Ovis aries: one gene and its partners. The protein of the gene in region 1 purifies or fractionates together with the protein of each later gene. This does not show direct contact. Links are inferred from orthologs where the notes say so. Each region holds a gene or a part of one and is shown on either strand. Other genes may lie near its edges.

Region 1 (10,425 bases):
CTGGCAGATGAACCTGAGCCTGAGGGTGCAGCTGGTCAGGCTCAGGAGAATCAGGATACCCGGCCCAAGATCAAGGCCAAGAAAGCCCGAAAGGTAAGATCTTTGCTCTTCTACTTCTCTCAGTTGGTTCATGGTTTTGTAAACCTTTAGAAGGTTTGTTTCCTCTCCTCATAATAGCTGTGGGTAGACACAAAGAGGAATTTGTTATAATTCCTGTCTTCAGAAAGCTCATAGACTGGACATGAGATAGGAATACACATAGCCGAAATCAAAACAAAATGCAGTTTATGTTTACATAGTAGCTTACCATATGTCAAGGGCTTGAACTAGGCATATTCACACAGGTTATCTCATTAAATCCTGAAAGTGATCTAGTTTTGTAGAGAAGGAAGTTGAGTCCCAGTGAGGTGGAGTGACTTGTCCAGGGTGATATAAACAGAATCAGTGGTGGACACAGGAAGAGGAGAAGCCTCAAGCTTTACATTTGGGTTGCTCCTGTCCTGGTGGGAAGATGAAACTCCTACTTGGAAACCAGTGAAAGGTGAATCCAAGACTCAACATGGCCAATATCTAGTGAGTCAGGCTGTTACTGCAAGGGTGGGATTAGAGGGGACTTCTATGAAGGAAAAAAGACCATCTGTTTCATCTGGCAATGTTGTGTTTGCTCTCTGTTGATGCAGGTGAAGCATCTGAATGGGGAAGAGGATGGCAGCAGTGATCAGAGTCAGGCTTCTGGAACCACAGGTGGCCGAAGGATCTCAAAGGCCCTAATGGCTTCAATGGCCCGCAGGGCTTCAAGGGGCCCCATAGCATTTTGGGCCCGCAGGGCATCAAGGACTCGGTTGGCTGCTTGGGCCCGGAGAGCTTTGCTTTCTCTGAGATCACCCAAGGCCCGTAGGGGCAAGGCTCGTCGCAGAGCTGCCAAGCTCCAGTCATCCCAAGAGCCTGAAGCACCACCACCCCGGGATGTAGCCCTTTTGCAAGGGAGGGTAAGAACCTTGTCCTCTCCACTCTGCATTATTCTCTGCTTTGCCTACCTTTTTCTCTGCCATTGTGTCAAGTTTTTTGCAAACATATTTTGATCTTTCCATCTTTTCCACTTCTCCCAGGCAAACGATTTGGTGAAGTACCTGTTGGTTAAAGACCAGACGAAGATTCCCATCAAACGCTCAGGTAGAGTCCTACTAACCCCTTCCTTCCTCCAGCTCTGCCCTCCAATTGCCCTCTCCCCCATATGCTGAGGGCATTTCTTGCTCTCCTGCTTCCACTTATGCCCTCTCAAAGTTCTAATTTGGCAGTAGTAGCATCTCTGTTCACTAGCTCAGAACCTGTTTGTGCCACCCACAGCAGGGTTGGTAAAGGGTCTATAGTTTGGGTATGGGGGCCACTTGGCTTCACTTCAGCCCAGGTGCTCGCAACACTCTCCCCTTGCAGACATGCTGAAGGACATCATCAAAGAATACACTGATGTGTACCCTGAAATCATTGAACGAGCAGGCTATTCCTTGGAGAAGGTGAAGGGGCAGACCTGGGGGATGGGTGCATTGGGGAAACCTTGAATCAAACAAAGGTGTACATGTCTCTTCTGGGGGGCACCACAGAAACTAATCCAGCCCCGTCACTGTGCAGATGGGAAGACAGTGGCCTAGCAAGGGGCATAGACTACCTTGAGGTCACACAGCAAGTCCATGGTAAAATCACAGCTAGAACCCAAGCTACCCAGCTTAGTCTTGGCTTTTGTCCACTGCTGGACAGTCTTGTAATGTACTTCAGATACTCACTTCTCAATTTCTTTCCCCACTCTCTGGCTCCCTGGATTCCACTAATCACAAAGATGACAATAACAGTAATGCATTTGTTGTCTGTATGCTGTGTGCTGGCCACTCAGCTAAGTGTTTTATGTGCATTATCTCACTGATTTCACATGCACACACACATACACACACATACAAGCATACACACACAGAGAGACAGACTCCTGAGTACGTGGGGAGCTATGGGATGCCAAGGAAGCTGAATTCTGTGGTCTCACACTGTTGTCCCCATCCACAGGTTTTTGGGATCCAATTAAAGGAGATTGATAAGAATGATCACTTGTACATTCTTCTCAGCACCTTAGAGCCCACTGATGCAGGCATACTGGGAACGTAAGCTGGGATAGGGCTGGGATGGGAGGGAGGCATCTGCTTTTGTTCATGGTACTAGTTCATCCCTATCTTCTCCCTATACCCCCTTAAGAAATAGGAAGGACAGAGCCCCAGACCTCTTTTCTATCACCCTTAGGTAGTTGGAGCCCTGCACACAGGAGTGGTACCTGATTATGATTGTCTGTAGGGTGTAGGAGCCTCGGGTAGTGCATTCTTACTGTAATATTTTCTGGTTTTCCAGAAGCTTCCCAAGAAAACAGACTTGTCATTCCTTGTCTCTTCATATTGGCCTTGGCAGAATAGTTCTCACAGGAGGGCTTCCTGGTATGAGTGGATCATGATGCTCGATGGGCAGGGGCATCATTTGGGGCTATGCCTAGAATTTTCTTGGAACTGATGGGTCTGGGGGAGCAAGAAGGGACTCACAATTGACTGGGTGCCCAGATCTTACCATTCTTCTATTCTCTCAGCAACACAGGAAGAGAAGGATGTGTTTTTCCCATTTTATGAATAGGAGACTAGGCTCAAAATCTTAAGTGCCTTACCCAGGATCACATAGAGCTTGAAGCATAGATGGGGCAGAATTCTCCCATATCTGAAGAATCTGGGAGAAGCTAGCCTAGTGAGCTGGCTGATATGTGTTTTTTTTTGCAGATGACTGTTGGATGTAAACCTTCTCTCTCTCCCATTATTCTCCTAGGACCAAGGACTCACCAAAGCTCGGTCTCCTCATGGTGCTTCTTAGCATCATCTTCATGAATGGAAATCGATCCAGTGAGGGTGAGTGGCTGGATTGACAGCTGGATGGGGGGTTGTGGTCAGAATTGCACATGTTCATTTTCTATCCCTGTTTCCTTTTTCCTCCCCTTGCAGCTGTCATCTGGGAGGTGCTGCGCAAGTTGGGGCTGCGCCCTGGGTATGATTGGGCTCTGTCAGCACTTGCTGTCCATGTTGTCCTTTGGCAAGAGAGGATGGTCCCAGGATTGCATCAGCCTGGTGGTCTGGTGGGGTGGGTGGGGGTGCTGGATTGGGTTCAGGGTTCTGACCTAGGTGGATGGGGAAATGGTCCTGAACTCTGCTCTATGTCACTGACTCTTGGGTTTCTATGGAGCTTCCATCTATGCTGGAAGCTTCTTTTCCCTGTGGGAAATGTCTCTGTCCATATCTGGGAAGTGCTGTAGCCCTAGTTATATTTATCTATGTATGTAGTTATGTATGTATGTAATTATTTTATCATTCTCTACTGTCAGGATACATCATTCACTTTTTGGAGATGTGAAGAAGCTCATTACTGATGAGTTTGTGAAGCAGAAGTAAGTCTGTATGGTGTTGCTGTGTTCCATGCATTTTGCCTGTCTTCAAAATGAGTGATAAAGCTATGGTGCATGTGCATGTGCTTGTGCATGTTATATAAGTGCATATGCAAGTGGTAGCTTTTTCCTGAGATAGTGGCAGAGAACATGAGTACACGTTTACTGACCTACCTGTGCTCTCATATATGCCTTTGGAGCAGTTCTTCGGGGGAAGGATTGTCATCACCAGTATTGTATGTGTGAGGAAACTGAAACTGAGAGGTGAAGTAATTTGCTCAGGGTTATACAGGCAACAGACAGAAGAGTTGTATTGAAATCCTGACTTCAGTACCTTGGTTCTTTTTACTATGCTAGCTAGGGCTTCATAGAAATTTATTTCCATAAAGAAATGCCATAGAATGGTAGCTTTAGGCAACCAGGTACTGTCCTGGAGTCTTGACTTGAACATCTCATTTCATTTTCATAACTACTCTGCAGAATAGCTGCCATCAACCCAACCCCGGTATCAGTTGAGGAGCCTGGTGCTCAGAGAGTAGGTCTGAACCTGGCCCTGGCTGGTAAAGGACCCATTTGGATCTGAAGCCTAGTCCTCCTGACTTTTCTGACCAGGGCCCACCCTGTTGTTGGTCCTTGGAGAACATGTGTACACTCACGCAGGTGCACCAGCACACATGCCTGAATGCTCACACACAAATGGTCGAGAGTATGCGTTGAATCCACTGCTCTTGGTTGACTGTTTTGTCCCATACAGTCATTTCCTAGGATGGACTGTACCAGGGTTCAGCCAGGCGATGGATGAGCCCGTTGGTGGGGTGTGCTCAGAGCAGGGGGCCTAAAGAATTGGCTTCTCTATTTGCAATACACCCAACAGGAATCTGGGTTATTGTGACAGGGGCACACAACTTGTGGCCTTCCTATGAAGAAATACTCTATACAGGCCCCTTGTACCTCCACATGGCTGCTGGGTAGGGTCAGTGAGATAGGGCTGAAGATTGGAAGAAAAGCTGCAGTAGTCAGTGGGGGAGTTTGCCACCTAAATGCATGAATGGGCCATTAGTGGTCTTATAGACATAAAGGCTTTGACCCTCTCTTTTCAAGGTACCTGGACTATGTCAGAGTCCCTAATAGCAATCCCCCTGAATATGAGTTCTTCTGGGGCCTGCGCTCTTATTATGAAACCAGCAAAATGAAAGTCCTCAAGTTTGCCTGCAAGGTAATTGGAGAACTGCCCAAGCTTGGCATACCAAGAGCATGGGGTGCCACTGTCTGGGGTAGGCTGTGTGCAGAACAGCCTGCAGCTCATGCATGAACATTCTGAAGCCTGTATTAATGTGCAAACACTTTATTTGAATCATTTAATACTTACAACTGACATGTCATTGCCTTATTGTAAATGAGAAAACTCAGGCTCAGAGGTTGTTAGGTGTCATGTCCAAGGTCACAGAGATAGTAAGTGTCAAAGCAGAGCTGGAATATTAGGTGCATAGCTACTAGTAGTATTTATGGTATTATAATTTGCATAGAGTAGGCACTTGGTGCTCAGATTTGGATCCTTCAGATGATTGTTCTTCCTGTCGTAGGTACAAAAGAAGGACCCTAAGGAATGGGCAGCTCAGTACCGAGAGGCAATGGAAGCAGATATGAAGGCTGCAGCTGAGGCTGCAGCTGAAGCCAAGGCAAGGGCTGAGATTAGAGCTCAGATGGGCATTGGGCTCGGCTCTGAGAATGCTGCTGGGCCCTGCAACTGGGATGAAGCTGATATTGGACCCTGGGCCAAGGCCCGTATCCAGGCGGGAGCTGAAGCTAAAGCCAAAGCCCAGGAGAGTGGTGGTGCCAGTGCTGGTGCCAGCACTGGTGGCAACTTTGGTGCCAGCACCAGCCTGACAGCCACTCTCACGTTTGGGCTCTTCGCAGGCCTTGGTGGAGCTGGTGCCAGCGCCAGTGGCAGTTCTGGTGCCTGTGGTTTCTCCTACAAGTGAGATATCAGGTATCTACTTATATTTGGGGAAAGCCAGGGCTCATGGGGGTGGGATAAAGAGCTGGGTGGTTACAGGAAGGCCAGGGTTGGAGGATCATGGAGAGTGTGAGAAAACACTACTTTTGACATTTTATTCCTTCCTATTGGTGGATATAATTGACTTTTTTATTTTCTTTTACTTGTGTTTTCAGATATTCCTAATCCCAGCAATCTTTGTCTTCGAGCCAGGGTGCATCCTCAGAAACCTATTCAGCACAGCGCTCTAGGCAGCCACTATCAATCAATTGAAGTTGACACTCTACATTAAATCTATTTGCCATTTCTGAGTTTATTGCCTTTTTTGGTGGGCTGTCACGTTTTGTATCATATTTTAAAATGAACTGGGAAAGTTTCCACCTCAGTCTGTGCTTAGCTTGAGGTGACATTGCTGAATTCAGTGGAGCAAAATTAGCATGTTTCCTGGGATAGGTTGGGCCCCATCACTATCCTATAGAGCAGGCAGGGTTGCAGTGGTGTGGGAGTCATGGAGATTGTAGGCATAGAGGGCATACTTAGAAGCTCTGATATGGGCAAATCTGGTCCAGAAAAATAGAGGAGATTGGACATCAAGTATTGACTCTCCTTTTGAGAAACTTAGGTTAGACAAGAAGGTGAAAGAGGTAGGTAGCTAAAGAGAGGTACAGGAATAATGATTTTCTTGGGAAAAGAGAGATTTGAGCAGGCAGGAGCCAAAAGACGGGGAGATGTTGAAGGCTGACTCATGCAGCCTAGTCCCTGAGGAGGTGGGAGGGGAGGACCTGTGGGAAGGGACTGTACAGAAAGGACTTGGAGAGGGGACTGTAGAAGGATTCCAGACAGTGGGGAGGCCCCAGTAGAGCAGGGAGCCCATGATTTATGGTAGACCCCCTTCCCCATGGCAAAGTGCTCAGTAATCTTGTAGGAATGAAGATGAGTGTTAGTTTATTCCAAGGATTTCATTCTGTTATTCAGTGGTAGAATAAGGACAAGACCAAGGGCAGCGAGTGTATGAGTCAGCATCTTTGTTACCATGTCCACCAGTGTAGGTTCACAGAATGGAGAAAGAGATGGACCAGGGAACCCAAGCAGGATTGGTGAGGAAGATGGAGTTTGAGTGACAGATTGGGAAACAGTGCAGGGGTTTGTGGACAGGAGTCTCTGAAGTCTATGAACAAGACAGAAAGGTAAGTAAATATACTAAGTGCCTGCTGTGTGCAGTGTTATAGCTGTCTGGGAGGGAATGTTCAGAGAACCAGAAGGATGAACTGAGGGATTAGTTCGATGGTCAGACAGTAGAATGATTAAGAAGACAGGAGAAAGAACTCTGGGCAGTGGGAAGATCCATGGAATAGCTGGTTAAAAGGGGAGATGATGGTTCCTAGAGATGAGGAGGGGTAAGTGGCCTGGTTGGGTTATCCATTTGGACAGTGAAATCACCCAGAATGGAGGCAGAAGTTAGGGTAGAGAGGAGCACTGTGAGCCAAGTGCCAGAGTTCCCTTGTGTAGTTGAAGGTGTCCTCCCAGCTCTACTACCCACTTAAGGCATGGGACCTTCAGGCAGAGATCCACCTTTGCCCTGTTTTGGAGAGTATTTCCCTGGATCTTCCTTCCCAGGAAGCTCTCAGCATCTAATCCCCACATTCAGTTCAGTTCAGTTGCTCAGTCGTGTCCGACTGACTCTTTGCGACCCCATGAATCGCAGCACGCCAGGCCTCCCTGTCCATCACCAACTCCTGGAGTTCACCCAAACTCATGTCTATTGAGTCGCTGATGCCATCCAGCCATCTCAACCTCTGTCGTCCCCTTCTCCTCCTGCCCCCAATCCCTCCCAGCATCAGAGTCTTTTCCAATGAGTCAACTCTTCGCATGAAGTGGCCAAAGTATTGGAGTTTCAGCTTCAGCATCAGTCCTTCCAATGAACAACCAGGACTGATCTCCTTTAGGATGGACTGGTTGGATCTCTTTGCAGTCCAAGGGAATCTCAAGAGTCTTCTCCAACACCACAGTTCAAAAGCATCAATTCATCAGCACTCAGCTTTCTTCACAGTCCAACTCACATCCATACATGACCACAGGAAAACCATAGCCTTGACTAGACGGACCTTAGTCGGCAAAGTAATGTATTCTGCTTTTTAATATGCTATCTAGGTTGGTCATAACTTTCCTTCCAAGGAGTAAGCGTCTTTTAATTTCATGGCTGCAGTCACCATCTGCAGTGATTTTGGAGCCCCCCAAAATAAAATCTGACACTGTTTCCACTGTTTCCCCATCTATTTCCCATGAAGTGATGGGACCAGATGCCATGATCTTCGTTTTCTGAATGTTGAGCTTTAAGCCAACTTTTTCACTCTCCTCTTTCACTTTCATCAAGAGGCTTCTTAGTTCTTCTTCACTTTCTGCCATAAGGGTGGTATCATCTGCCTATCTGAGGTTATTGATATTTCTCCTGGCAATCTTGATTCCAGCTTGTGCTTCTTCCAGCCCAGCATTTCTCATGATGTACTCTGCATATAAGTTAAATAAGCAGGGTGACAATATACCAGACCCCTAATCTGGGACAGAGGCACACAGACAATGAGACTCTAGTAATAGCTCTTAAGACTAAAAGCAATAAAGAAACAAGGCTTATTGCTTAGGGAACAGAATCTAAAAAAGAAAAAGCTGCACCAGGAGCAAGGAAGTTCCTTGCCTGTTGTCATGAATCAAGACCTGCTTTTGCTGCGGAGATGTTGAGCTCTTCTTCACTGGAAGCATTGATTCCATAAGCCATGGTTGCCTCAGGGGTTGGATAGTACCTGGGAGAAGTAGGCAAGGTCAGAGGCAGCTTAGACCTAGGAAGGATTCTATAGCAGGTGGGTACCATGTCCAGGGTGCCCTTAGACTCCCAGGTGATGTCCATCTGAAAATAGGGGGTAATGTAAGGGGGTAATGGTGAGGGGTGGCAAGGAACTTGGAGACTGTGATTCTAATAAAAAGTGAGTTTAAAGTGCTTGATAAGAGATAAGGGTGAATCATAGTCATGAAGAACTCTGACCTTCCCACTTACCTTCCCTCCACAGACCACTGGGTTTGCAGGGCTCCCCACCTCTTCTTTCCTACAAGGCTTAGACTTTGGAAAATAATGGTTTTTTTCTCACTACCTCAGGTGTAAAGATGGAAGGCATGTGAGGTAGGGAGGAAGAGATCAAATCTGGTTCAAGGCAAATGGGGAATGGCCAGAACTAAAAAGAAGGAGGGCCAGGGGAAATGGGGACAGACTATGGTTCATGTTTTCGTCACCTTTATTAGCTTGAAGGCCACTACTGTAATAAATGAACTCCTACAGTATTATCATTAAATTTCAAATAATTCTAGAATATATCATGTATTAATATTTCCCATTTGGCTAGGAGTGGGAAGAGCTCCAAAAGCAATTTCTCCATCTATTTTTTTATTATCACCCTCAAGCTTTTTCAGACATTTTTGTCTCAATTGCTACTCCCCATAAAATTTGAATACTACAAATATACTGTGCACCTATTTAATGTATAATGTATATTTGTACTTTATACAGAGAAAGGTTTTTACTCAATATAGGGTTTATAATGACTAAAATATTTAAAGTTTAACAATTTAAGATACTGTGAGCAACTTTATAACTATTTGCTGATCAGCTTTAAATGTAACATTTACATTGTAATGTATCAAATTACATATGTAAATCAGCAATTTATATAGCTATGTGATAATAGCAGTATAACCAATATTTTAAAATAACTATTCAAAACATTTTTCAGCAAAAGTAAAACATAAAATTTTAAATTAATTTCTTAAAAATGATTTTTAGTGTAACTAACTTTCAAGCATTGCATGATAAAAGAAAAATTTTAACTAGCTGCTGGGTATCCATTCAGGTATCATCAGCATTCTTATAAGCGCTCTTCAGTGCTTGACTGAAAGATCAATTGAATAACTTTTGTAGAATTAAATAGAAGCTATTTTTAATTCTCGAAGCCCAGACAACACTCCGAGACACTGAGGAAGTCTTCCAATCACAGCCATCTATTCACCATGGTTTTATAGTGCTGATTTTGCATACATTTTCTGTGTCTTCCTCATTGTTGCTCTTGTGAAACTCAAGAAAACCCAACAACAGAAATTAAATGAAATTAAATACTAAAGAGTAAGATTCTTCAATAAGGTTGAGCTTTAGGGGGACACAAACTATGGTGAAAGATTTGGGGGAATTTTTGTCCCCCACAAGGACCAATTTTCACTCCCTTGTGGTTGATCACCCACAACTCCATCTGCCCTTTCCTCCTGCATTAATACAAGACCTACAGTAACATTTCACCTGAATTGAATAAAGAAGATAGAATGAGTGCTGGGTTGGGGAGGAGGGGTGAGGAGTGGGAGAGAGGGAAAGGAAAGAAACGAGGGAGGAAAAGAACAAGAAATAACTACTAGAGACCAACCATTTGTGAAAACAAAGTGAGGGGGACAACACTTTTGTTTCTCCAAACTTACACTTTCAAAAATGCCTTAGTCCAACATAATTCTATTAATTCATGTATAATTGCCATTCACCCATTTTCCAAACGGAGATCAACCCAAATCTTTTCACCTACTATCTCCAGCTTCAAGTCCACAAATTTTGGGTGATACCCTTTTTTCTACCTGCCTTGCAACCTAGTCTAGATATGCTGCAGGCTTTGAACTAGATTGTACATTGAATCACCATGTCCTGTGTGTGTATGGCTATTGTATCATTTGGATAATCTTTGGATTATCACTGAGTATGATGTGGATGAAGGTACCAAAGGAATTTCCTGGGCCTCAAATATAAGGTACATTAAGCCCTCTCCAGTGGGTCCAGCATCCTGAGCATGCTTTGTAGAATTAACATGTGTGAGACCCTAGAGGTTGCTTCCACAATGACTGTGCGAAATCTAAGCTCTTGGAAGTCCTGTATTGGCTTGCCATAATCTGC
Region 2 (10,774 bases), on another chromosome or scaffold:
ACTGCACACCGAAGGTGAGACTCATGCACGTGGGCCGGGGGCGTGAGGGGCGTGGGCCTAGGTGGGGCGGGGTGTTAGGGGCTGGGAGGTGTAGACCACCTGAATGGACAGTCCGGAGCCGCTCCTGAGGTCCGGAACATTCTCCCAGTGATGGTCGACCTGCTAGTTAAACCCACGCGTAGTAACATTTCCCGTCCTCCCCCACCCCTGTTTGACTGCGGGGATAGATACTGTAAAGTCCTGGAGGCCGGCTTTACCTCAGTCTCTCGAAAATGGAACTTTGCGAAAGCCCAAGGTCGCGGTTAGAAGTAGCGTGATGTTTCTTGGCAAGTGAAAGGGTAGTGGCGATTTTTTTTTTTTTTTTTTTTGCTTTATTTTGAAACGTCGTGAGAAGTTCATTATTCGGGATCACTTTCCTAGAATCCATGCTCAGCTTCCCACTGATAGCTTACATTTTTACAGATGAAGGAATTGAGGTTTAATGGATATGAGTTGGGCTAAGTCCACAGAGCCACCATTAATAGAAGTATTAGGAAAAAACAGGCTAAGTCCTGGTCTTTGCTTGTAGTAACGGGGTCATTTTCCATTTTAGACTAATTGGCTCTTTCTGTAACTTATTTCCATTGTAGGAGACAAAGCTTTCGTTGACTTCCTCAGCGATGAGATCAAGGAGGAAAAGAAGATACAGAAATATAAGTCTCTCCCCAAAATGTCAGGAGGTTGGGAATTGGAAGTGAATGGGACGGAAGCCAAATTAGTGCGGAAAGTTGCTGGAGAAAAGTAAGTACCAGGGGCCTATGGAGCCCAGGGGACCACATCCATAAACCTGCAGGACCTGCTGTGAGGTATCCACAACAACTTTTAGTTAAGACAGGTGCTTAACTGACTCCTGGTTTCCCAGAGATGGTATGATTCGTTTGGATAACTTCTTAGGCTCCTTTTTGCTTATTCACTGCACAGTAATGTGCTGTGGTGGTTAACAAGGAGACAGTAAGCTAGTAGCGGGGTTCCCCAGTGGCTTGGCGTCCAGAACCCACCTGCCAAAGGAGGAGGTGTGAGTCTGAAATGGCAACCCACTCCAGTATTCTTGACTGGAAAATCCAATGGACAGAGGAGCCTGGCAGGGAGTCCATGGGGTTGCAGAGTCAGACACGACTGAGTGCCTGAACATCACCCCAGTAGCACTGAAGCCAAGCCACTGGGAGTCTTCTGGACCAGTAGAGGCAGCAGTCACTGAGCCCTTCCTGGTGAGTGAGGCTGTGCCTTGCCCACAACTAGGCATGCAAATTCAGAGATTCCGGCACTGCCCACAGAATCGGATTTACTCTGCTGGGTCTACTACCCTCAGGCTCTGGCTGAGGAAAATAAAGCCCCTGTTCTGTTTACAGTTGAGAAAGCAAGATAATTAACAGGGTGGGGTTGCAGTATAGTTTTTCATTAGAAAAGAGGGATGCTTTTGGCCTGCTTAAGCTGTTTTAAATCCACGGTCCACTTTGAAGTTTTGCATGCGCTGTGAAGCAGCAGGCTGGTGCTTTTGCCTAGTATTGTAGTGCTTTCCCCGTCATAGATCAATTGTGTGGTCTGTAACGTGACCCAAACCACTCTCCTAGGCGAAGTTATAGGCAGTTTGGGACCATTATAATGTGCTGCTGAACATAGCTGCATTTCTCTGTCCAGGGGTCAGTTTGGTCCACACTGTCACAGCTTAGACAGATTTTGTGCCTGTACATCAAACTTCTGTCTGTCAAGGTGCCAGTTACCATGGCTTCAGAGGGCAGCGTTGTCTGCAACCTAGCAGTGCTCGTTCCAAGTGTCACTCAATTTTCAGTTCAAATTTTGGAATATGATATGTCAGGTGAAGATTCTTGCAAGTTAAAATTGTCATTAGGTGGTGTTTGTGGCCTGCCTTGTCATTTATTAAACTTCCTACATCTGCTCTGAAGAATAAAACTGTCCAGCAGCATATTCTTTTTTTTTTTTTGCCACACTGCTTGTGGGAATCTTAGTTCCCTGACCGGGGATCAAACCCAGGCCATGGCAGTGAACACACCAAGTCCTAACCCCTGGCCCACCAGAGAACTCCTCTATGTGGTGTCCTTTGTGAGGCCTCCCCTTCCTGGGGCCAGGGCTACTCTCCATCCTCAGCTGATGCCACAACCCTCCGGTGCTCCTTCTCTTCCTCTCAGGCAGATTTTCTTCTAATGGAGGAAGATTTTTAAAGGAGGCTCCTGGGACTTAGTGGTGGTCCAGTGGTTAAACCTCTCCTCTCCCAGTGCAGGGGACCTGGGTTCAATCCCCGATCAGGGAACTAAAATACCACACATAGCAACAAAGGTCACATGCACCTCGCAACCAAGACCCAGCCCAGCCAAGTACATTTTATTTTCTTAAAGGAGGCTTTTGGAACTTTGTGGTGGTCAAAGTGTCTGCTCCCAGCGCAGAGGACCTGGGTTCAATCCCTGGTCAGGGAACTAAGATCTCGCATGTAGCAACTGAGCGATCCCATACATAACAATGGTCATGCGTACCTCGCAACCAAGACCCTGTGCAGCCAAGTACATTTATTGTTTTAGAGGAGGCTTCTAGCCCATGCCCACAGCTTCTCAGCTGCTCACCACCACTGGGAGGTGCCCTGGAAAGACAAGAGTGGCGGTGTCAGCTGACTGTGGCTATAAGGTTGACAGAGAGCCCCGGATAGTGGCCTGATGGCAGAAGCACCAACACACAACTGTATTTGGCTGAGGAAATAGTGCCTAATTGACTTCCAGCAGCCAACACATAGTAGGCCCACTTCAGACCTGCTGAATCCAACTGTGGATGGGATGCAGGCAAATCAGATGTAAAGCCGGCTGAGATACATTGTTTCAACAGCATTTTTAACTGTAGCAAGCCGTAGTACTCAGCTACTCAGTTAAAAAGACATCTTCATTGTGCTCTTTGGTTGCCTTTCTAGGATCACTGTCACTTTCAACATTAACAATAGCATCCCACCTGCTTTCGGTGGTGAGGAGGAAGAACCCTCCCAAGGGCAGAAGGCTGAGGAGCAGGAGGTAAGTTTCTAACACTGTAACCAGCCTGTACCCACCTATTTCTGACAGGCTTAGGGAAGGAGCATTGGTTTTTGTTTTGTTTAAATTCTAACGCCAGGAGAGAGGGCAAAGGCAGCCATCCTTGGGCCTTTACTTGCAGAGCACCAGAACTGTGTGGCCACTTTTCTTTCCCAGGGGCCAAGTGTTAATGAATTGTTTTCTGTGGGCTTAAGCGTTATAGTTTGGCCGGTGTTCACCTAACAGGAAGGAATTTAAACTGTCTTAACCCTTCTCATGATCAGGAGATAAATCATTTGGAGTGTTCCACATGAGGAATACATGTCCCGAGTTGGTAATAAACACCAGCCAGGGGCATCAGAGACTTTGGCAAGGCCTCTCCTTAAGTTGCTGCCCTTCTTGGTTGGACCTGGATGGTGTTTAGTCCTCGAACATTTTAGGAAGCTTTGTGCCTGGCCTAGAAACCAGCCAGTATGAGGGCCACAGGTCCCCAGACTTTCTGGCTGGGTGGGCATGGTATTGTCTCATCACCCAGCTCAGCTCCCTGGAGTGCTGGCCCAGCCCCCCTGACAAAGACCACCCCCAACCCATCCATGAGGTTGGCTGGCTCGCTCTCAGAGCGCCTCTGGGCCTCTAGTCAGAGGCACCAGCCTTTGGTCCTGGGCTGTAATGAAGATCCCAAAACATCTGGAAAGGGGTTTTGGAGTTTTGAGCCAGCTTTGTAGTGTATAGATGTAGAAACTGACCCAGGAAAATTAACTGGCACACTAGATGTGGCTAGAGCTGAGTTCCTATTTCTGAACCTTGTATGTTCTTTAAACAAGCAGGGTGCTAATAGAAGTGAAAGGCTGTACTAAATTATGATACTCTGCCTCCGAAACAGTCCATAACGCTAGAAAGGAATGACAGGATGTACTCGGCCCAGTCTCTGAACAAGTGGGTTACGTGGCTGTAATACTGTGTTAAAGATTCTAGGCTTCTTATTTGGGAACCTCTTAGCGCAGTGTCGGAGAAGGCGATGGCACCCCACTCCAGTACTCTTGCCTGGAAAATCCCATGGATGGAGGAGCCTGGTAGGCTGCAGTCCATGGGGTCCCTAAGAGTCAGGCTTGACTGAGTGACTTCACTTTCACTTTTCACTTTCATGCAATGGAGAAGGAAATGGCAACTCACTCCAGTGTTATTGCCTGGAGAATCCCAGGGACGGGGGAGCAAGACTTGTAAGTGGCTAAGTAATATCGTAATAGCAGTGGCCGTCAGACCCCTGAATTGAGACCTTTAGTCCAGACCCCTGCCACCAGACCCTTGCCAACATTTACTGACTTGTTCTTATTTCCCTAGCCTGAATTGACATCCACTCCCAATTTTGTGGTTGAAGTTACAAAGGATGGCAGCAGCAAGGCCCTTGTGCTGGACTGCCACTATCCAGAAGATGAGGTGTGTAGGGTGGAGAGCTGGCGGCCTGGGGGGCGGTGGTGGGGGGCCTCCAGGGGGCTTTCCTGGTTCCATCTAGCTGATATTAACATTTTCTGGCTTAGAGCAGCAAAGCTGGGAAGATTAGTGGGAGGTAAGGGAACAAGGTTAAAATCTGAGTTTCAAGCTGTAAATAATCCCTTTTCTTCGCCTGAGTCTGGCTTGTCCTGGAAAACCTTTCTGTTTCGCCAAATACTGTCTCTCTTCAGATTGGACAAGAGGATGACCAGAGTGACATTTTCTCCATCAAGGAAGTGAGTTTTCAGGCCACCGGCGAGTCTGACTGGAAGGACACAAATTACACACTCAACACAGATTCCCTGGATTGGGTGAGTGCTAGATAAGGTGGGGAGGGGCCTACCTAATCCAAGGAGAGACAAAGAAGCATCCTAGTAAGTGTCTCAGGTGTCTGTCTGTTTTTTTAACTAGTAAATGATCCTTCTAGGGCTTATACGACCACCTAATGGATTTCCTTGCGGACCGAGGGGTGGACAACACTTTTGCTGATGAATTGGTGGAGCTCAGCACAGCCCTGGAGCACCAGGAGTACATTTCTTTCCTCGAAGACCTCAAAGGTTTTGTCAAAAGCCAGTAGAGCAGGCAGCAAGGTGCTGAACACCTTAATTTTATGGCAGGCTTTGGCCAGTGAACAAAACCTAACTCTGAAGCCAGACCCACATGCTTTGAAAAAAATTTTTTTTTTTTAATCCCAATATCATGGAAAATAATTCACTTTTAACTTATTTCTGTTGTCTCTTATTTACCATTCATTTATCCTCTACAAACCCTTTATTTCTGGATTTTTGTATAACATAATGATGGACAATAAAAATCTCCAAGGTGATTTGTCTTTTCTAATTCTATACCCTCCCTTTCAACCTGTATTACAAAACATGAAACAGAGGAAAGTCTGAAATGTTTTAATAAGTTATAAATAAAAGGTTTGTATTTACAAGGCCACTTCTCAAGATGGGACTTTCTTCCAACACAGTAGATCATGCATCAAGACTGGGACCGACCCTAGAGGATCACAGCCCAAGTATCACAAGCCTGGATTTAAACAGAAAAGAGTTAGAGTTATTCCAGTGACAAAGACAGTCTCAGCATATGGTTAAAAGTCATCGATAGCAATGACACTTAAGCTGCTCCTTCCACGACCTGGGTGGCCTCTGTGCTTCCCCCCTTCAGGAGATGGTTGGCCTTTTAACTGAAATAACATCACTTTTCTATGCAACTAAGTTCCTCTTTTCTACCAGGGTGGGAATAAAACCATCCGCTGACCCACTGTCAACTACTGGCTCCCGTGGTAGGCTTACCAGACAGCTCATGAGAAGACATGACTTCTCCTCTGTCCCCTCAGTGACTGAAAATTCTGGCGTGTGGGGACAATGTGCACTGTGCTCATTGACACTGTCTTCTAAACAGGCACGAAGCTTTTGCTCTGTCATCTCCGGAGACTAAAAAATAGACAAGTTAAACTATAACCTAATCTTACTAGCCTCATAGTCAACAGCTTAAAAAACTGCAGCTCCCCTCACACCAATCCACAACTGGCTCCCTGTGATGGCTTGATTCCTTGGACCCTTAGAAACGCTATAACTGTGCTAAGAGGATCTCTTTAAATGTCCATCTAGCTGCCTCTCCAAATGAACCAGTGCTCTTCCACTCCTGCCGTAAAACACTAACTGCTGCTCATCGTGCCAGGAACACTCAGACTCTGGAACCTCCCTGTGTTTCTGCCTCTACCAGCCAAGTGTATGATTACCCAGAACCAGCAAGCTCCCATATCTGCTGCTGAACTTGCTACTGTAACTGAGTGATTTAATTACATACTATATAAACCAATGAAATAATAAGAAAACAAAGTTTCATTTTTGTGATAGTAAGTGGAATGTTTAGGAAACAAAAAGATGCTTTAAGAAAAAGAATTAGGTAAAAGAGTAAAAGATGGGGAGGAAAAATCCTAAAGTGTAGACAGCTTCTCGATGCTTTATAGAAACAACTGGGGAAACAAGACTTTAAGAGAATTTTACAAAAAACAACCTCAGCTCTCCAGTCAACAGAGTCTCTGGCTCAAAGACTGGCAAGTAAACATGTATGTTTGAAACTTACTATAAAGTGTGTCATTTGTATAATTCACCACTTTAATCAACTGGCAAACTTTTGGTCAACATCATGTCAGATCAGATACAAGAGTTTCCAGTACTAAACCAGGCTCTCTTCCTAGACGTAAGTGCCTCACAAATGGCTTGTGCAGAGGGGCTGGGAAGACCCTGATTTATGGAGCTTGCCAATTCCATGGTGTCTCATATTGCCACTGTGACCAATTTCAAGCTACCAGTGTGTGAACTGGACGTGAAGCTGGGACAAGCTGTGCTCGCTACTGGAGTTTAAGAAAGTAGGTACATGTGGGAAGAGGTAACACAAGACCTGTGTGAGGAACACTCACATGAGACTGGATGTACAGGCCACACTGACACACGACCAGTCCGCTTGCTACCCTCAGGTTGTACCTGGAAGCAGAATTGGGATCCCAGAGCATTACAGCTAGCAGACCCGTATCCCCCCACTTCCCAGACCACAGAGTTGGGGGGAGTTCCACTCACCTTGGAGTGGGGGGTGGGAACGAACAGTGCTGAAAAGGTTGTGAAAACTCTTACTTTGTACACACGGGACAGATGAGGGGGTTTGCTTCCCACTCAGCAAGCATGACACTGAGACACTGTTCGTCAAACTGCAAGCTCTTCTCGTACTCACTGATGATGGACTGTTCTGCAAGGCAAAGGAGAGCTGGAGTGGCACCGTGCATCACTTCGGGCACCCTGTCCCGAGTGCTAGAAGATTCATTTTCAAAGGCTTCATCCACACAAGAGACAAATGAGGGTAAAACCACACTACAATCGCTAGATATTCACTGCTGTGTCAGGCCTCCTCTTACTGGATCCTTCCCCTCCTGTCTGTCTGCTTCCTTTTGAAGTGATGAGGCCACAGGAGGGGAGCTGAAAAAGTGTCAGGCAGCTGAAGAAAGCTGACAAAGGCACATATTTCTGATGCCAGGCCCCCCTGGATACGTCTAAGGCGATCTGTTCCCCACTGTCCCCAGACTCAGTCCGTGTTCAGAATGTGTGTTCATCCACTCAGCAGATATGTAAAAAGGCCTAGGACTTGGGAGGCCTAGGTAAATACAAAGATGAAAAAGGCTGGTCCCTGCTTCTGATGAGCTCACCGTCTAGACTTCAGAGTAGGGCTCAGCAGACCACAGGCCGTATCCTGCCCACCTTCCATTTTTAAAGTTATAATAGAACAGCCATTCTCCTTTGGTTGATGAATGGGCTCTAACGGTTCTCCCACTACAATAGCCGAACTGAGTAGTAGCAACAGGCTAAACATTTACAACCTGGCTCCTAAGGGAGAGTTTGCCAACCCCAATTCCAGAGGGTTCCTTATGACTGAGTAAGGCAGAACACAGCAAATTCTTATCACTTGGGATTTTTAAATTAAATACACCCCAAAAGAAATATTTAGTGAGTCCTTTCACTGAGATAGGTTTTACAGGTGAGGGTAAAGAGAAAAAAAAAAAAATCAAGGAATCTACAGTTTAACTGGAGCCAACACAGCAATCATAACAACTAACACTCGCATAGCACTTATTTTGTGTCAAAGTCCTTAACATATATATTAATCTTCACTATAAGTCTTATTTTAAAGATGAAGAAACAGGCACAAGGAGAGCCCAGCGCCACACAAGTTAAAGTGGTGAAGCTGAGAAGTGAACTTTGGCCGTCTGGGCCAAGAGTTCATGTTCTTGCATCCTCAAGATAAAAGCAATTATTTATCGAAAGCCTTCTTATATACCAGGCACCGCTCTAAGTCTTCAAAACATGTTATTTAAACTACAGAGGCAGTCTGTCATCTCTTTAACAGATGATATAAACTGAGCCTCATCAAGACAGGCCTGTGTGAAATAAATGACTTGGTTATATGAAGTACTAAATCAAGCACTCTGTGGCTCTCTGATGCTACAGGAAGGGAACGGTCACAAAACCCTGGGGAGTCAGTAAGGAACAGATGGGAGAGAAGGTACTGAAGTTAGGCAGCACAAGAGGCCTGATCATGCACTCTCCTGTAAGGGAACAAGGTTACTGTTAATCTACTAACAGAGAAGTACTGTTGGGTTGAATAGACACAGGAACCGGATTCACAGAATCAATTTTACTTTCCAACTCCACCACCAGCTATGCAGCCTGTAAGACACCTCTGTCCCCTCATACTACCTCATGGGGCGTCATGAGGACAGAGCAGTAGAAGGAGAGGTCTGAGCACAAGGCCTGACACCTGAAGACTCTTCTGTTACTGGGACAGCCAAGTACAGCCAAGACTTCAAAGTGAGAACAAGAGACCCCTGAATACGCGACTAAAGATGGAAACAAAGGAGTTAAAAACATTCTGTTTAGAAATGAGGTCAGCATTAGAGCAGTTAGAGATACAGGCAGGAAGAACTATTCCTAGACGTCACCTTGATCAATCAGCTCCTGTTGGATTTCCTCCAGCACAGCCAGGTCCATCGGCTCCTCCAACTGCAGGAGAAAGTGGGGTCATCAGAGATTTGAAGTTACGATCAACTGACAAGACCCACATGATTCACACTTGAAGACTGGCTTGAAAAACCCAGATTCAACTGAAGAAATCAACCCAGTCCTTCCATAGAATGTGCTGACAGTGCAGTAACGTGGCCATGCTGAGAAAGCATCCACAAATGATTCACCCAGCCAGGGACAAAACAACGGCACCAAAGTTGCGGGAGGCAGTGTAGGGTAGCAGCTAAGTGTATGGTTCTGCCAAAAAGCTGTGTGACCACTAGAAAGTTTCTAATCACCGTCAGCCTCATTTTGGGCCTCTGTAACGTGGACATAAAACCCACCTGAGAGGGTTACTGTAAACACTAATTGTGACTATGTAACTTGAACACATAGCAGGCACCAAATCATGCCTGTTTATTACAGAGAGCCTTGATGTTTTCAGAACAGTTTCCCACATGTTTCTTATACTGTCCTCACAGTACTAACAACATCATCAATTTTACAAATGTGGAAACTAAAGCTCAAAGAGGCAGAATTAAGAGGCAATAGCAAAACCAAGATCAGAACTGCAGAACTACTGAGACTTCCTTGGTGGTCCAGCGGCTAAGACTCTGTGCTCCCAACACAGGGGGCCCAGGTTCCATCCCTGATCAGGGAACTAGATCCCACATGCTGCACCTAAAAGACCCTGCGTGCTGCAAGAAAGACTGAAGATCCCATGTGCTGCAGATGCACAGCCAAATGAATATTAAAAAAAAAAAAAAGAATTCCAGAACTACTGAGTTCCAATCCAGTGCTTTTCCTGATACATGGTAAATGGTTCCCTGTGCATACCCAGTTCCCAACCCTGGCTGAGATTAGAATCAGAAAGTTCCTGGAGACCTTTTTTAAAAAGAGAGATCACTAGCTCAGGCCTACTGAATCAAAAGTTCCAGGGGTGGAGCCATGGAGTAAAATTTCTCTCCGTTGAGTTTTGTAAGTGATTATGATGTGAAGAACTGACTCATTGGAAAAGACCCTAGTGCTGGGATAAGACTGAAGGCAGGAAGAGAAGGGGGAGACAGAGGATGAGATGGTTGCATGGCATCACTGACTCAATGGACATGGGTTTGAGCAAGCTCCAGGAGTTGGTGATGGCCAGGGAAGCCTGGCGTGCTGCAGTCCATGAGGTCGCAAAGAGTCGGACACAACCGAACGACTGAACTGAACTGATGATACAGTGATGCAGCAGGTTGAGAGTCTAGAATTTATGGACCATCAATTGATCTAGAAGAGTCTAATGTTAAAGGTAGAAGAACTTGGGTCAGAGGCCATTAGAGGCCTGATTGGGGGCTGGAAGGTGACTGGATTTAGAGAAGTTGGGAAGACAGGAAGAGAGGACACTGCCATTCACGGTGCTAAAGGAACATATCCAGCCTGACCTGAGCCCAGGCCTGTGGGCAGCTCTCCACCGACTGCAAAGCATTCCACTCTTCTTCCATCACCTCCTGCACTAGAAGGGTGTTCTGAGCGCCTCCTGACATACTGCCTCCAGCCTGGCGGTATTTGCTCAGGAGCCTGTCCCGGCTGTTTCTCATTCTCTCCAGGCATCCCTTGGAAAGAGGAGAAAGATGAGAAAGGGAAAAAAAAAAAAAACCCTCAGATTAGTTGTTAACACACTAAAGGAAATTTATA
Region 3 (10,877 bases), on another chromosome or scaffold:
TTTGCTAAAATTCACATTTTCCTGGAAGGAAAATTGCGGTCTCATCACATCTTCATAAATGAGATGTCTTACCTCCATGACATCAAATCATTTATTGGCAAAGTCTCCTAATTAGCTTGTATTCCTCCTAGGTAAGCAATTGGGTGAGGAAAGAAACTTATTCAGTAGTTCAGTTTGGCCCTTCATCCCATTCCCAAAAAAGTACAGAATGAAAACTACCCAAGACCAGTAATCCACAGAAAGAGATCAGCTGGTGTCAATTTCCAAATACGTGTAGCACGCTGAAGTTCTTTATGAACACTGACTCCTTAGTTTGCCTCGAAACGGAATAATTGCACCCAGGGTTGGTGGCAGGGTGAACTCTGGTCTCACTGACTGGGAGCAGCCCCTGTGTCTAAACATTCCCTCTCTTGTTCACTTCCAGGAATTCTATGAGCATGCCAAGGCTCTCTGGGAGGATGAAGGGGTGCGTGCCTGCTATGAGCGCTCCAATGAGTACCAGCTGATTGACTGCGCCCAGTAGTAAGTACACTGTCTCCGCATCAGCGTGCACGCGCACACACACAAACACGAGCGCATGGAGAACATCCTAAAAACCACAACTCACACTGTTTAAGTTACTTCTTTTCAGAGAAGCCAGCCTGCAGTTTGAAAGTTGTAGTCCAATTCACTGGTTTTATAAAGCCCTTAATTGTACTTTTTAGTGCAGTGACATTATTTTTATACAAACAGGTAATGCCTGGTAGAGCAAAATGATAATTACCTGCAGTAAAGTGATGTTCATAATTAATTACCTTGAAGTAATTAATTGAATTGACCTCCAAGCATGTGGGGAGATAGGACAGCTTTCACACTTTGGATAAGGTAGAAGTATTGTATTTTATTGCTATAATTTAAAACGTGACAAAGAGGAACAGTGTGGCAAAAATATGCCTCCCCCCTCCTTCGTGGCCAGTCCAGTATTTCTACTATCAGGTAAGTGACTGTAGTAGCTGCTAGAGTCCAATATGTCTAGTTCATCTAGAGTTGGGTATTGTGTTGAATTCCATCTCCTATCCTTATTGATTCATTCACACTGGGCTTAATTCGAGGATGCTCCCCCCATGGGGTCCTTGCTGTGTCCCTTCATGGGCTCTCTTCCAGTGGATGTGATAAACACAGCTGGAAAGTTGCTTTTTAAATAGTTTACAACCTTGCTTATCCTGTACATAATATAGCAAATATGTGATGTTCAGAGCCATAAAAGATATTTTAAAGGTATCGTTTGTTTGCTGATGTTGCACAAATGTACTCAGCGGTCTCAGTTATCATATATTCTTAAGTTGGATTGTCTTTTATGACTGGGGGAAGGGCAAGAGATATTTGTGATGTTTCAGCCTCTCTTATGTAAGTAACTGAAACACACACAATTTTGCTATTGAAAATATTAAGTAACCAGAAACACGGTACCCGGCTGGCTCACAGAAAGCTAAAATTGCATTACTTAGGAGCCCCACGCCTGAGGAACTTATGAAAACCACTTGAATAAACAGGAGGGAGGAAGAGGTGACAGCACTCCAACTGCAAACACAAAGCAAGTGCCCCAAATTCCTGTTATCTACACATGACAAGAGCTTGTGTTAGGGGCTGTGAAGCCTGTCAGTTTCTCTCTCCTTGGCCCTGCTTTCCCATTGGAAGTGCATTTGATTATTTTCAGTTATCACACATACAGCTATTTTGTGATTTCATATACAAGCAAATCTGTATATTTTTTCAACAAGTGAGAAAAAAAAAGTCCATCTTGGCCAGTCTCTGTGACCCCCCCCCCCCCCCCCCCCCCCCCTCAACAAAGTCTCTGATTTTCTCAAAAGTTTGAGCTTAAAGCTGGAAGTGCTAATTATAGTAATGCAAAACAAATGGAAATCCTGGAATTGTTTGCCTTTTGTAGTTTGGATCCAAGTCAGAAGTACAGGTACAAGATTAGAAGGATTTAACCACTCCAGTTTGGAGTGCTCTGGGAGGGGGTAGGGTGTAACACTTCATTAATTAACAGTTTAGCCAGCTTTTTTTTTTTACTCTCACACCATTTAAAAGTTTTTTTTTTTTTTAAAGCAACACTCAATTACTCCTGCAACTTTATCTGAAAAAGGCAACATATGCAGTTTATGGAAAGTTTTAAGGAAACTCTAAGAAAAAGAGAACACAGCTCAAATTTTATAAAATGTCTTCCCCAGCCCAATGATTGGAAAGCGGCTCTGCCCCTGCAGTGACCAGTGTGTTTCTGGTTTCACTGCCTTTATGTTAAAAAGTTGATCTACTGCTACCTTGCCCATTTCTTAAGGCGCCTGTTTTTATTTGTTGAGCCGGGGTTTGGCTGGCCCCACTCCAGATGTCTCTCTCACAAGATTTGGTGCTGATGATCTATTTTTAGAACTGTGGTTCTGTTGCCATGGCAACATGCTGGAGGCCAGGGCGGCTGGGGAGCTATTTCTGGACTGGTACTGTAATGTAAGACTGATTGGGCAAGTTAGTATATCCTCTAAGCCAGACTAACTTTAAACTGGTAAAAAGGAAGGAGGAAAGAAGAAAAAAAAAAAGGTACAGACTTTCTTTAAATAGACTTTTCTTTGTGATTTTTCTTCTCTGATTAGCCCCCTTTAAAATAATTCCAGACCCCTCCCCCAAGGGGGAAAAAGAAAAAAGCTGGTTTTACCATTAACACAGTAATCAGTGTTTTAAAAGTTATTTTTCCTAACAGTGTTATCTAGTCTGGCAACATAAGCAAGGTACTTTTTGCTTTGGGGACAGTGTATAGCTGTGGAGAGGGAGGTGAAAAACACTGCTTTTCCCCTATAAAGCTTTCTCATCGTTAAGGATGGCCCCTAAGATCTCTACCCCTCCACTATGCAGGCTCCCAGCCTGAATAAGAGCCCCTAACCTGGGTGGCTGTGAGGGTTTTTGAAAACACTAAAGTTTAATATCTTGACTGTGCTATTTCATAGACCAAGTAGAACGGAAGGGAACGTTGTGTCTGTTTCCTGTTCAGTGTGGTAAGGGCCCGGCCCCTTCTTACAAGTAGAAGGAAGGGATACCCTTTCTGAGTAACTCAGACAATCTCATTTTTATTAGTCTCTTGGGAGGGGAAAAAACCTTGCTGCTCTTAAATGTGCCATTTTTTTCCATTTTTTAAAACACCGCATGACAGGAAGAGTCCAATTTTCATACTACTTGCCATTTTAACCAAAGCCAAACAATTTGAATTTAACTCAGTCATTATCAAACTGCACAAAATCAGTCAGCTGATTGATCTGCACAGAACCAGCCTTTTAAAATTAAAACAAGGCCAGGAGAGCCCACTCCTAGTTCCTGATTCCTAGACGTACTACTGCTCAGCCAGGTACATTTATCTTATATTCTCTTTGCTCTAACCTCTCTAAAGCATAAGCTTGGAATCATAAGTTTAATGAACACAAGAAAAATTCCCACTGACTTAACGCCATGTAACTGTGGGGTGATCATTTCCATTAGCTGATCGTTGCAGAGAGGCAGGAATAGTGGGTGGGCAAAGTGGCACGAGTATGTGGTCACCCTGATGCATCTTTTTCTCCCAGCTTCCTGGACAAGATTGACGTCATCAAGCAGGATGACTATGTGCCCAGCGACCAGGTACGCACACATTCTCACAAGCAGAGGACTTGGAGCCCTCTGTCCCAACTAATTGGCAACTCCAGACTGGCAATTATTAATGAGTGTTAGTTGGTTTCGGTGAGATCCCTTGACCCAAGATTCTGTTTTAGGATCTGCTCCGCTGCCGTGTCCTGACTTCTGGAATCTTTGAGACCAAGTTCCAGGTGGACAAAGTCAACTTCCAGTAAGTAAATGGTTCCCTTTAAAAAAAAAAAAAAGATATCTTGACGTTCCTTCTGGTAGGGAGAGTGGTGGACCAGTGTCGCCCTTGGAGTGACCAGGTATCATTTCTCTCCTGCAGCATGTTTGACGTGGGCGGCCAGCGCGATGAACGCCGCAAATGGATCCAATGCTTCAATGGTACGGGAGCCGCGGGCTTCTCTGCTCTTTAAGGACATTTTGCTTTTCTAGTTGTTAAGGATCACTTTCCCTGCTAACATGCGTTATGTTTGCTTTCTCGTGCTGAAGATGTGACTGCCATCATCTTCGTGGTTGCCAGCAGCAGCTACAACATGGTCATTCGGGAGGACAACCAGACCAACCGCCTGCAGGAGGCTCTGAACCTCTTCAAGAGCATCTGGAACAACAGGTTTGTGCAGTGACGCCCCCCTTCCCCCAGTCTCCTTCCTACTGATGTCAAGGTCAATAGAAAAGAATCTTGTACAAGTTCTTGTGCAAGCATCTCAAACCACTTGCAAAAAGAATACTCTCTTTTCCTGGGCAATAAACATGCTTCCCTCTTTCTTAGATGGCTGCGCACCATCTCTGTGATTCTGTTCCTCAACAAGCAAGATCTGCTGGCTGAGAAAGTCCTTGCTGGAAAATCGAAGATTGAGGACTACTTTCCAGAATTTGCTCGCTACACTACTCCTGAGGATGGTACGTATGGCCTTCTGCAGTTGATTAGTGCCCATGGGTCCCACAGGGTTTTGCATATGTTAAAGATTTCTATTGATTTTAAAAATGAATGATCTCTAAGAATGGAACTCCACTTCCCCAGCCACCACCACCACCACCACCACACTATAAGGGGTCTATAGGGGGAGCAAAAGAATCTCATTCTAATTACTTAAGTAACAAAATATTTATATTCTTTACAGCGACTCCCGAGCCTGGAGAGGACCCACGCGTGACCCGGGCCAAGTACTTCATTCGAGATGAATTTCTGGTGAGTAGAGATTGTTGTTTACTTAATTCTAAATCTGAGGATCAAACCATCCAGTTCCTCCATGTTATTTCACTGATAGCCAGCATGACTCTTAGCCTTTGTGCCCTTCAGTTGGGGATTGTTTCAACATAATGTCAATAACTAGCAGGCAGAGTTTGGTAGATGACATCTACTGGTGAGTTTCTGGCGAGGGGTCACTGACCACCGTTCCTCTGTCCCCACAGAGAATCAGCACTGCTAGTGGAGATGGGCGCCACTACTGCTACCCTCACTTCACCTGCGCTGTGGACACCGAGAACATCCGCCGTGTGTTCAACGACTGCCGTGACATCATCCAGCGCATGCACCTCCGTCAGTATGAGCTGCTCTAAGAAGGGAACCTCTAGATTTAATTAAGGCCTTAAGCGCAATTAATTACAAGTAAGATATAACTACACGCAGTTGATCACCCACCATAGGGCATGATTAACAAAGCAACCTTTCCTTTCCCTCAAGTGATTTTGCGAAACCCCCTTTACCCTACAGCTTGCTTAAATATTACAAATTTAGAAAGCTTAAGGCGGCCTATAGATTAAGATTAAGAAAAAAAGGCCACAAATGTTCCCTTCTCTCTTTAAGTAAGCAAAATATAATAGCAGCAAACAGAAATAAATAAATGAAATAAATGAAACAAATGAAATAAATATCGTGTTGTGCAGCATTAAAAAATCAAAATAAAAATTAAATGTGAGCAAAGATGTGACTCCTGTGAATTATTTGCGGTTTCGAGCAGACATGCACTGTTCAGGGTTTGGACTACATCAAAAGTTAGGAGGCCCCCATGTTTAGGTGACAAGGCCCCAAGGTTATAAGTGGGTGTAAAATCTTCCCATATTATTTGTTGACCTAACCTTGGGTTTCTGAAAATGATTTTCAGACGATACCAAATGATCACCCTGTCCTTCTCCCAAACCGATGCCCTGAAGAAAACCATTAAGGTCCATCAAAAAATTCTATACTTTGAGCATTGCTGCCCTATCCAAGTATTCTACCAATTTATACCTTTATATACTATCTTAGGGTGGGTCTACTTCCCTACTCTCCCCAAAATAGGTGTCTGCTTTTCAGCTCTTTGTCCATCCAACATCTCAGTTGGGTGGGAGGAATTTAGTAATGCAGTTTCAAATCAAGTGGATTTACTTAAGAAATAGTGTATAATGTATATTAAATCATCACACTGTATACACTGAATATATTAAAATTTGTCAATTATTAACTCAGTAAAAATGATGGGAGGGGTGTGGGAGGTAGGGGGTCGGGAGGAATAAACCTGGTGCAAAGCTATCAAATAGTTACAAACAAATGGTGTCGTGATTTGGGGAAAAATTAGGCTGGATCCCTATCTCATTCCATATGTAAATGAACTCAATGTGCAGCAAACATGTATGTTTAAATACAGAAAGTTACTTTTTAAATGGCTATCTTTACAGTTCAAATCTTGGTTTATAGACGGCCTCTCTAAGCTGGATGTAAGATTTAAAAAATTTAAATGGGGGGAGGACTGTAAAAAAAATATGAGTGAGGGCAGGGGTGGGAACTGGGTAAAAATATGTAAGAAAGGATTCATGTCTCTAATAGGCAAAGAGCTCTTAAGAATTAATAAGCAAGCCTATCACAAAAATGGGCAAGGTACATGAACAAGCAATTTTACTTTTTAAGGTACAAATAAGTAATTACCTCTACACCTCATCTCATACACAGATGAACTCAGTGGGTCAAACACATATGTTTAAATACAAAAATGTACTTTAAAAATGGTGATTTTTACAATTAAAATCTTAGTTTATAGAAGACCTCTCTAAGCATGACCTAAGATTACAAAATATAAAGTGGAGGTGGGGAGATGGGAGAGGACTGTGCATAAAATATGAATCAGGGTGGGGGTAGGGGTGGAAAATGGGTAACAATATGTAAGAAAGGATTGATTATCCTAATTAGCAAAGAGCTCTTAAGAATTAATAAGCAAGCCATCATAAAAATGGGCAAGATACATGAACAAGCAATTTTACTTTTAAAGAAGATACAAATAACTATCTACCTCATCCCACACACAGATGAATTCAGTGTTGGTCAAACACATGTTTAAATACAAACATGTACTTTTAAAATGGCAATTATTACAATTAAAATCTTATGGAAGGCCCCTCTAAGCATGACCTCAGATTAAAAAAATATAAAATGGGGGTGGGGAGGTGGGGTGGGAGACGGCTATACAAAACTTAAATAAGAACGGTGTTGGGGTGGAAACGGTAAAAATACGTAAGAAGGATTAATTTCCCTAATAAGCAAAGATCTCTTATTCAATAAGCCATCACAAAAATGGGCAAGATACATGAACAAGCAATTTTACTTTTAAAAAAGGTACAAATAATTATCTCTACCTCATCCCACACACAGATGAACTCAGTGTTGGTCAAACATGTTTAAATACAAACATATACTTTTTAAATGGCAATTATTACAATTAAAATCTTATGGAAGGCCCCTCTAAGCATGACCTCAGATTAAAAAAATATAAAATGGGGGTGGGGAGGTAGGGTGGGAGATGGCTATACAAAACTTAAATAAGGACGGGGTTGGGGTGGAAACGGTAAAAATACATAAGAAGGATTAATTTCCCTAATAAGCAAAGATCTCTTATTTAATAAGCCATCACAAAAATGGGTAAGATACATGAACAAGCAATTTTACTTTTTAAAAAGGTACAAATAACTATCTCTACCTCATCCCACACACAGATGAACTCAGTGTTGGTCAAACACATGTTTAAATACAAATGTGTACTTTTAAAATGGCAATTATTACAATTAAAATCTTATGGAAGGCCCCTCTAAGCATGACCTCAGATTAAAAAAATATAAAATGGGGGTGGGGAGGTGGGGTGGGAGATGGCTATACAAAACTTAAATAAGAACAGGGTTGGGGTGGAAACGGTAAAAATGCGTAAGAAAGATTAATTTCCCTAATAAGCAAAGATCTCTTATTCAATAAGCCATCACAAAAATGGGCAAGATACATGAACAAGCAATTTTACTTTTTAAAAAAGTACAAATAATTATCTCTACCTCATCCCATACACAAATGAACTCAGTGTTGGTCAAACACATATGTTTAAATACAAACATGTACTTTTAAAATGGTGATTTTTACTACTGAAATCTTATGGCTCATCTAAGCATGACCTAAGACTAAAAAAATGTATAGTGGCAGTTGGGGATGGGGTAGGAGAGGGCTGTATAAAATGTAAGATCAAATATGAATGGGAGTGGGGATGGAACTGGGTAAAAATACATAAGAAAGGATTAATTTCTCTAATAAGCAAGGAACCCCTAAGAATTAACAAGCAAGCCGTCACAAAAATGGGCAAGGTATATGAACAAGCAATTTTACTTTTTAAAAAGGTACAAATAACTATCCTTACCCTCATTCCATACACAAATGGACTCAATGTGGGTCAAAAACATATATTTAAATATAAAAATACATCTTTAAAATGGCTACCTTAAAATATTGGTTTATAGAAGGTAATAAGCATGACATAAGATTTAAAAACCATAAAGGGGGGTTGGCCGAGGAGAGTGCAAAACTTAAATGTGAATGGGGGTGGGGGTGGAGACTGGGTAAAAATCTGTAACAACAGGTTAATTTCCCTAACAAGCAAAGAGTTCTTAAGAATAAACAAGCCCATCACAAAAATGGGCAAGGTACAGGAACAAGCAATTTTACTTTCTAAAAAGGTACAACTAACTAACATTGGGGAAACCATGCAACTTCACTCATAATGAAGTGAAATACAAATAAAAATCTTGCACCATTGCTGGGGGAGGGAATGGGCAACAGCACTCACAGGTCCCACACCAAACTCACTGAATCCTTGACGGGTCATGGCTTGGACCTGAGATGATCTTGGGTTCCCTATAGTTCTTCATCACCAGGCTCATCCCTTAAGCTCATGGTCAACCATGGTGTGGCTTCCTAGAAGGTTGGGAGGGAGACACCAGCTCACCCCCAGCATCAACCATTGCACCCTCTGAAACAGGCCAAATGGGACATCAGTCAAGGTGACTCTACCTCAGGCCCAAACCCTACTTCCTGTTCTATTTTCCAGGTCAAATTAATCCCAGTCAATTAATCCTCAAGCTCAGTACTGCAGAGGTGAGCAAAGAGTATGCCACCGAGGGCAAGAAAAGTAGCAAACACCCCCTATCCATTAACCTTCCCAAAGTTCCTATGTAACATTCATTCCACATAAAAATTGTGTGCTTACTAGCGAGATTTCATCACAAAATGACACTCAAAAGCCGCCCAAATGAACATACAATCAACATGAGTGCTAGCTATCCAAATACAGCCAAAGACCCACCCCTTAAATGTGCATAATCCTCCAAAGTACCCCAAATAAACACTAAACCCTGGGCAACAACTACAGGACCAGCCCAACCATAAAAACACCCATCCAGGTAAAGTGCTGGCAGAGAATAGTTCCCAAGTCCCTCTTCCAAGATGGCCAGCCGGAGGCCCCACCCATCCTGAGATTCTAGAACCTTCTCGGAATAATCCACATTAGGTTGCCATAGTGCTAGCCACATATCCATCACCATTAGAAAACAAACTCTCAGGCTATAGAACATGTATATGTGAAAAATGCAATCCCAGAACCCCAGGCCCTTGCTGATCACAACTGGCAGAGACTGTGATGACGTCCAGAAGGATGGTAATAAAAGTCACAGTTATCCAGCATCTACCAGGCACCCATCAGCACCTAACCAGGCAGGGTCCGCTGTTTCTGCCTTTTTTACCAATGACTAAACACGGCCTAGGGAGGCCAAAGTAACTTGCCCCAAGAAAGATTAGTAAGCGGGGAAGATGGGCTTCAAACTCAGGTAGACAAAGCCCACTGCTTGGCTGCTATCATATCCTGTAGTTCTAGACAATACGGGAAAAGAGAGAGGGTCTCCTGCTAGTCTTTCCAGGATGTCAGTTGTGGGGAGACCATGACCCATGGTCACCATTGGATTCCATAGCTGGTGGTGCTGGGGGTAGAGAGATTTGTGAGTAGGCAGCAGAGTGGAAGGGAGGAGTGCCCTCCTCCCTCAGAGTGGCACTGGATACACACCCCCAACCCAGGGATTGAACCTGCATCTCCTATGTCTCCTGCATTGCAGGCAGATTCTTTACCACTAATAATAAACCACTAAGTGGCCTGATGAAGCTTTAGTTTGAAGACGGTCTAGAATTTTTACCCATCTTCACTTTCAAAATTATCCCCAAAGAAATGGCCACCTCAGCACAGCCCTTCTATGTCAAATGGTATTCTCTTATCATAATAGTTTCTTGGACATTTTTTGGTCTTTTTATTCAACAAATAGAGAGCAGAGAATCTATGCCAGCCACTGGGAGTTCAGCTCTCATGGGGTTTACGTCTATCAGGGGAGACATGCATTTACCAAATAAGTAATTGAATTACAGATGATGACAAGGCCTCTGGGCTAGTAAACAGGTTGGGGGCAATGGGGAATGGGAACTATTGGAGGGATTCCACTTGAGATAGAATAGCCAGGGAGGGCTTTTTGGAGGAGGAGGCTTTTCTTACTGGAATACAAAGGATAAGAAGGAGCTAGTCATTTAAGTATGAGTCACCAGTAGCAAACATCACTCTTCTTTATCGATATTGATTATTAAAATATTAATAGCATTTATGGAGCACTTTACTGGCACTTTATGTGCCAGACAGTGTCCTAGGCCCTTTATAGGGGTTATTCCACTTAATCATTTTGAAACCCTAGGAGGACGTACCCTATCATCCATGTAAGATGTGTGCAATCTGTTATCCCACTGTACAAAAATAAAAAAGGTAAAATATATCTAAAACATTATGAATAATTTATATAAACTATGCTTTTAACACTGGTTACACTATAAAGGTCATGTAATATTCACTTAATTAGTGTAACTTCTACTCAGGTTGCTAACAGAGAGTTGGGGAATTTAGTGTCTCTACGAT

What was found.
Region 2: the proteins of MAGED2 (region 1) and C1QBP purify together in Homo sapiens (affinity purification with mass spectrometry; 3 studies listed by BioGRID and IntAct, counting the BioPlex papers as one, with this or other methods). This does not show direct contact. The link is inferred for Ovis aries from reciprocal best matches to the Homo sapiens genes MAGED2 and C1QBP.
Region 3: the proteins of MAGED2 (region 1) and GNAS purify together in Homo sapiens (affinity purification with mass spectrometry; 3 studies listed by BioGRID, counting the BioPlex papers as one, with this or other methods). This does not show direct contact. The link is inferred for Ovis aries from reciprocal best matches to the Homo sapiens genes MAGED2 and GNAS.

The regions. Positions count from the first base shown.
Region 1 is NC_056080.1:52,807,624-52,818,048, forward strand, and holds the end of MAGED2 (melanoma-associated antigen D2), read left to right. Parts: coding exon 1-93; intron 94-680; coding exon 681-989; intron 990-1,109; coding exon 1,110-1,173; intron 1,174-1,434; coding exon 1,435-1,514; intron 1,515-2,052; coding exon 2,053-2,147; intron 2,148-2,847; coding exon 2,848-2,927; intron 2,928-3,020; coding exon 3,021-3,063; intron 3,064-3,397; coding exon 3,398-3,460; intron 3,461-4,269; exon of another isoform or gene 4,270-4,397; intron 4,398-4,558; coding exon 4,559-4,673; intron 4,674-5,040; coding exon 5,041-5,439; 3' UTR 5,440-5,447; intron 5,448-5,629; 3' UTR 5,630-5,764; downstream 5,765-10,425. UniProt on the Homo sapiens protein: Regulates the expression, localization to the plasma membrane and function of the sodium chloride cotransporters SLC12A1 and SLC12A3, two key components of salt reabsorption in the distal renal tubule.
Region 2 is NC_056064.1:25,999,705-26,010,478, forward strand, and holds the end of C1QBP (complement component 1 Q subcomponent-binding protein, mitochondrial), read left to right. Parts: coding exon 1-14; intron 15-629; coding exon 630-780; intron 781-2,953; coding exon 2,954-3,050; intron 3,051-4,388; coding exon 4,389-4,778; coding exon of another isoform or gene 4,779-4,849; 3' UTR 4,850-4,965; coding exon of another isoform or gene 4,966-5,115; 3' UTR 5,116-5,364; downstream 5,365-10,774. Other genes in the region: RPAIN (RPA-interacting protein), read right to left, coding at 5,747-5,977, 6,970-7,033, 7,181-7,292, 9,037-9,097, 10,522-10,692.
Region 3 is NC_056066.1:57,147,304-57,158,180, reverse strand, and holds the end of GNAS (guanine nucleotide-binding protein G(s) subunit alpha isoforms XLas), read left to right. Parts: intron 1-424; coding exon 425-522; intron 523-3,590; coding exon 3,591-3,645; intron 3,646-3,776; coding exon 3,777-3,850; intron 3,851-3,967; coding exon 3,968-4,026; intron 4,027-4,134; coding exon 4,135-4,255; intron 4,256-4,414; coding exon 4,415-4,545; intron 4,546-4,766; coding exon 4,767-4,834; intron 4,835-5,058; coding exon 5,059-5,205; 3' UTR 5,206-5,569; downstream 5,570-10,877. UniProt on the Homo sapiens protein: Guanine nucleotide-binding proteins (G proteins) function as transducers in numerous signaling pathways controlled by G protein-coupled receptors (GPCRs).